Yarrowia lipolytica: one gene and its partner. The protein of the gene in region 1 interacts with the protein of each later gene in a biochemical or structural test. Links are inferred from orthologs where the notes say so. Each region holds a gene or a part of one and is shown on either strand. Other genes may lie near its edges.

The links. The genes of interacting proteins can lie anywhere in the genome.
Region 2: the proteins of YALI1_B02375g (region 1) and YALI1_E05994g form a complex in vitro, tested with the Saccharomyces cerevisiae proteins (2 studies listed by BioGRID, with this or other methods). The link is inferred for Yarrowia lipolytica from reciprocal best matches to the Saccharomyces cerevisiae genes YME1 and TIM9.

Annotation. Positions count from the first base shown.
Region 1 is NC_090771.1:236,245-240,002, forward strand, and holds YALI1_B02375g (uncharacterized protein), read left to right. Parts: upstream 1-1,347; coding exon 1,348-3,474; downstream 3,475-3,758. Other genes in the region: YALI1_B02415g (uncharacterized protein), read right to left, coding at 3,691-3,758. UniProt on the Saccharomyces cerevisiae protein: Catalytic subunit of the mitochondrial inner membrane i-AAA protease supercomplex required for mitochondrial inner membrane protein turnover. The protease is probably ATP-dependent. Important to maintain the integrity of the mitochondrial compartment.
Region 2 is NC_090774.1:598,634-600,746, forward strand, and holds YALI1_E05994g (uncharacterized protein), read right to left. Parts: upstream 923-2,113; coding exon 845-922; intron 768-844; coding exon 588-767; downstream 1-587. Other genes in the region: YALI1_E05975g (uncharacterized protein), read left to right, coding at 1-353; YALI1_E06015g (uncharacterized protein), read right to left, coding at 1,882-2,113. UniProt on the Saccharomyces cerevisiae protein: Mitochondrial intermembrane chaperone that participates in the import and insertion of multi-pass transmembrane proteins into the mitochondrial inner membrane.

The DNA.
Region 1 (3,758 bases):
TTGGTGATCACGTGACGTCGACCGACGACCGGTGGTTGAGCAAGTTTGATTAAGTTTTGAAATAGAGTTTCGCCGATGAGTGATAGTGAGGTGATTTGGAGAGGGAATCGGTCTTGTTCGGAAACAGCATAGAAGGCGAGTTTTTGTCTGAAAACTAGTTCTGTGAATAGCTGAAGATTGGGGGAGTATTTTTTCCACTTTTTTGATCGTTTTTGGCCAGAAACCAGCGATCTGAGTGTGGCACTGTACATGTACGTATTGTCATGTTCACTCCAGTATGTACAGTTTATATACTGTAAGTTGTACCTTTCATTTCAGTCCACCTTTCTAGAGTGTATTTTGTAGGAGATGGAGAGGTTCGATTGGAAAATGGAGTTGACCATTCGATTCTATTGTTCGAGAGGAATCTAAAAATGTCAAAAAATGTCAAAAAATGTAAATTTTTATCATTCAGTCACTGCTCAAATCTCTGACAGACTATACGCAGCCGACTTGAGATGTCGATGCGAGATTATACAAGTAGATATCGATGCGAGATATCATCCAAGAGATATATGGGCAGTGGAACACAGATATCAAACAGAAAGTCATGACCACACACCTCCGAGATCCCTTTTCCCTGGTCACGTGACCCACCCACCGCCTCTCGCCTCGTAGTTGTTCAACGCCACACCTATTAGCTTATTACGTCACTGGCTGGATGTATCATTTTACATAGTTGTATTTGCTCATTGCTGTGAGAGTCCAAGAGCTCCAAAATTGACGGTTTTTGCTGGTTGTTCTTGAAAGAAAGCTCGTTGAAACTCGTCAAAACTCGTCGAGAATTGTCGAAACTTGTCGAAACTCGTCGAAACTCGTCGAAACTCGTCGAAACTCGTCGAAAAACACAGATTCTCTTCGCTCTCCTCTCCTCAGGTCTCGTTCGCCGGATCTCCGAGACGCGTCACGTGGCGGAGCAGCCCATTTCCCAGAACCTTCTAAATGTTTCGGAAGCAATCCCCCGCCTGACATCTGTTGCCTTCAGTAATGCCTCAGTTCGAGTCCCGGTGGTGCTTCATATTCGCGGGGAATACCCAGTGCTTATAAGTGTCGCTATTGCCACCGGGGAAAGTTGCTCTGAAACAAGCCCGTCATCGCTCGTCTTTTAGGGCTCCTGCTTTGCCACCCAGCTGGTCTCTTTCATACAAGTAAGCCTCCCTGGGTCTCGTCAACAAGTACTTGACAGAAAAATCCATCTTGCAAAACAAAGTTCATCTCGCCACCTCAAACGACCCTCTTGGTGACTACTTGTACCCTCCTTACTCATTACACCACACTCAACCCCACACACACATCGACATATTCCACATGAAAAGCCTCTTTGCAGGACTGAGGAGTGTGACACGGTCGCCCGGGCTCATGTCCAGCCCGCTGCTGCGACCGCACGCTCTGAAACGGTCCGTTTGGACCCCCTACAACTCGCTCTCGCCTGTGCCGGTCTCGTGCCGCTCCTTCAACTGGTCGTCTCTTAAACCCGGGTTTCTCTCCGACACGGTGCCGACCCACGTGCTGGCCGAAAAGGAACAGGCTGCCAACCGCTCGCTCAACAACCCCCAGGCCCAGCTGGACTTCTACAAGGCGCTGATCAACACAAACTACCCCCATGTGGTGGTGCAGCGGTACGAATCGCCCGGCGTGGCCCGTAACGCCGACTGCGACAAGCTCTACGTGGCGGCGCTGAAATCGCAGGGCCAGCACGACAAGGCCGAGAACATGGAACACCGACTGCTGGGCGGCAACTTGGCCGGAAACGGACAAAAGGGCACGCGATCAGACCCCGTCCACGTCATCCTCAAGGAAACCACCGCCTCCGCAGTCACCAAATGGATCCGATTCATCCTGCCCCTTGCCCTTATCGGCTACATGGTCTGGCAGAGCATGCAGCTGCTGGCCGAGTCGTCGCTGCTCAAGGGATCCGGCACCTCCGGATTCAACTCCAAGCTCATGGACCCCACCGACGGCTCCAAGTCCACCGTCAAGTTTTCGGACGTGCACGGCGTGGACGAGGCCCGAGGCGAGCTGGAAGAGATTGTCGATTTCCTCAAGGACCCCTCCAAGTTCACCGGTCTGGGTGGCAAGCTGCCCAAGGGCGTGCTGCTGACTGGACCCCCCGGAACAGGTAAGACTCTGCTGGCACGAGCCGTGGCCGGTGAGGCCGATGTCCCCTTCTACTTTGTTTCTGGATCTGAGTTTGACGAAATGTACGTCGGCGTGGGAGCCAAACGTGTTCGAGAATTGTTTGAGAAGGCCCGAGCCAAGGCTCCTGCCATCATCTTCATTGATGAGCTGGACGCCATCGGAGGCAAGCGAAACCCCAAGGACCACGCCTACTCCAAGCAGACTCTCAACCAGCTGCTTATCGAGCTCGACGGCTTCTCTCCCTCCACCGGAATTGTGATTATTGCCGCCACCAACTTCCCCCAGATGCTGGACAAGGCTCTGACCCGACCTGGACGTTTCGACAAGATGGTCAACGTGGAGCTTCCCGATGTGCGAGGCCGAATCGCCATTCTGAAGCACCATATGAAGAAGGTCGAGGCTTCCCCTCTGGTTGACTGTTCAGTGCTTGCTCGAGGTACCTCTGGTTTCTCCGGAGCCGAGCTCATGAACCTGGTCAACCAGGCCGCCATCCAGGCATCCAAGGAGAAGGCGCTGTCCGTGGACATGTCTCACTTTGAGTGGGCCAAAGACAAGATTCTGATGGGAGCCGCCCGATCCAAGATGGTGCTCACCGAGGAGTCGATCCGAAACACCGCCTACCACGAGGCCGGACACGCCCTGATGGCGCTGTACAGCCCCGCTGCCACCCCCATCTACAAGGCGACCATTCTGCCCCGAGGCCAGGCCCTGGGTCTTGTTCAGCAGCTTCCCGAGCTGGACAAGTACGACATGACCAAGCAGGAGATGTTTGCTCGTGTCGACGTGTGCATGGGAGGCAAGATTGCCGAGGAGCTTATCAACGGTGCCGAGAATGTGACCGGTGGTTGCTCTTCCGACCTCCGACAGGCCACGTCCATGGCAAAGCATATGGTCACCACCTACGGCATGTCCGACGCAGTGGGACCCATGTCGTTTGGTGACGAGCAGTGGTCGCAGCATCTGCAGCAGCTGGCCGAGGGCGAGATTCAGAAGATTCTCTTCAACTCGGAAAAACGGTCGCGTGAGCTGCTCACGGAAAAGCTGCCGGAATTGCATCGCCTTGCGCAGTCGCTGCTCGACTACGAGACCCTCACTGCTGAGGAAATCAAGCAGGTGGTCAAGGGAGAGAAACTGCCCCGAGAAAAGGGTCTATCTGTGACGGTCGTCAAGTCCAAGGATATCCGGGACAACCGAGGCTCCAAGAAGAGCAAGGATGACGACGAGGACCAGGAGGACCGGTCGTACGACGACGGCGTCCGAATAGGTGCCGGCGCCGCCAGCGCAAAGTCGGCGTAGATGCATAGGAGGAGTAACGTTTTTATAGGAGCTGTATTGTAAATATTCACATTGAGGAGCATTGGCGGCACCACGCTGCTGATGCCAACTGTACTGTAGTTGTACATACTGTACCGGTAGTGTACATTCGCATCATCTAATCTCGTAATATAATACATGAGCTGGACCAAAAACGTCATACTTGTATCTGGTATTGTCATTCATTATATCATAAAGCTAACCCTTGAAAGCGTAGTCACCAGCGATCCACCGGTTGACCATATCCAGAGAAGTCTCGGGCTGGT
Region 2 (2,113 bases), on another chromosome or scaffold:
ACACCTCTGCTGCCCCTTCGGCCAACCGCAAGTTTCAGAACGTGGCTGGCAATCTGCTCTCGAACATCTCATCCAACAAATCTGCGTCTTTCTTCACACACCCTGTCAATCCCAACAGTGCGCCCAACTACTACGAGTTGATCTTTTCGCCGACGGACATCCGGACCATCAAGGCCCAGGTCAAGGACGGACGTATTTCATCCACTTCTGAGCTTGAACGTGAGGTCGCCAAGATGTTTGCCAACGCCATCATGTACAACCCTTGGGACTCTGATGTAAACCTGTGGGCTCGAGAGATGCAGCAGGAGACTGATGCTCTCTTGACCTTGTTTCGGGGAGCAGGTGGGGAGTAGAACATAATTACGATTGATAATGATTACAAATGTATAACACCATGTTTGCAGTTGCAACTAAAGTGGTGCAGCTATGAGTGGCACAGTCCAGTATGATCAGACTCCGGGCAGATGATGATAGTGATGCAGAATAAATACAATATCAAAGTACAACAAGGGCAACATCAAACACAATCATTGGGGTTGCACCGCCTCATCTAGTAACTCGAACAGGGATCAATTAATATGTACATTTTATCTCTTCTGCATAAGAGCAGCGTTCTGTTCCTGGAATCTCTGGCCGACTCGTTCAGAGTGCTTGAGGAACTTCTCGGAGCACTTCTCGAGACAAGACTCTTCTCGGGAAGACAGAGCCTTGGAGGTGAAGTCGTTGACACAGTCAGTGAAGCATCGCTGGACGAGAGAGGAGTAGAGCTGGGTTAGTATGTGTGGTGTGGTGTTGTGTTCTGTTCTGTTGTCGTGGTTGTCATCAAGAAATTTGGAATACTCACTCGCATGAAATCCTTCATCTGCTTCTGCTCGACGAGCTGCTGGAACTCCTGCTGTTCTCGGTTGTTCAATTGATCCATCTTGTGTTGTGATTTGGGTGACTGATGTGTGTGATTGTCTTGAGCAACAACGAATACTTTTCACTCCCAGGTGGAAAAGGGTATCACGTGTCGAGTTTATTTTCCAGAGAGGGGCGAGTGTGATTGGGCTGAAATATGGCGTTCAAAGGCTTTTCAGAGTCCCGTGAGCATATAATATCATTGTGCACTGTTGAAATAACTACATCTTCTCATTCTTCTGATATTTCGCCCTCAATGAACCGCTGCACTCCTATTGCCACTCATCACCAAATCTCGGTATGAACCTTGTAGAGTTCGGAGAAGCTGGGAGAATCACGGCTTCAAGAAGTCTCATAAACACGCAATTTGAGCGGTATTGAAAATCTAACATTTTAGTTGGACTCATCTTATCGCAAGTACCGACCAAAAAACTTGAAATTCTCGATTTTGCGCGCCGAAACATCATGTTCAACGCACCTTCTTATGCACTCTTTATCACGGTGATATAGTTGTTCAGTATTTCTACAAGTACAAGTTCTGGTAAAAACCTATAACCTTACCCAACTCCATCACACCCAGTGAAGAAATATGCCTCACTGAATCCTCAAACAAAACACCTTGACCAGCGAATATGTGGAATGTCCATCTTTAGAATACACAAACACACTCGTACAAGTACCGTACCAGCCACATACTTCAAATACACTTCTCTATCACAATATTCCCTTGCTTAAACACATTGCTACAAGGGTTAAACCACAGGGTGCCATCTTACAGTATATGTATCGTACAGTGGTTAAGATTAGTTTATCTCCGGATCATCAGAGTTAATCATACCCATAGATACAGCTGCGGAAAGGCGATTGTTATACAGCATGGCACATTATTACAAGAACCGTGTACATCCACACTAAATCCATCACACCCACTACTCATCAATAATTCGTTCAATGTCATAATATCATCTAAATCATACATAATTACTGGAGCTTGTTGATAACAGCCATGGTGAACTCGTCAGTAGTGGAGTTGCCGCCAAGATCGGGGGTTCGGACCTGGCCCTCAGCAAGAACGTCGTAGGTAGCCTTGGAGATGACGTCAGCGAAGTCATCGAGGTTGAGGTGTCGCAGAAGCATGGCGGAAGACAGAATCATGGCGGTGGGGTTAGCGGTACCTCGGCCCTTAATGTCAAGACCGACGTGTCGGCAACCG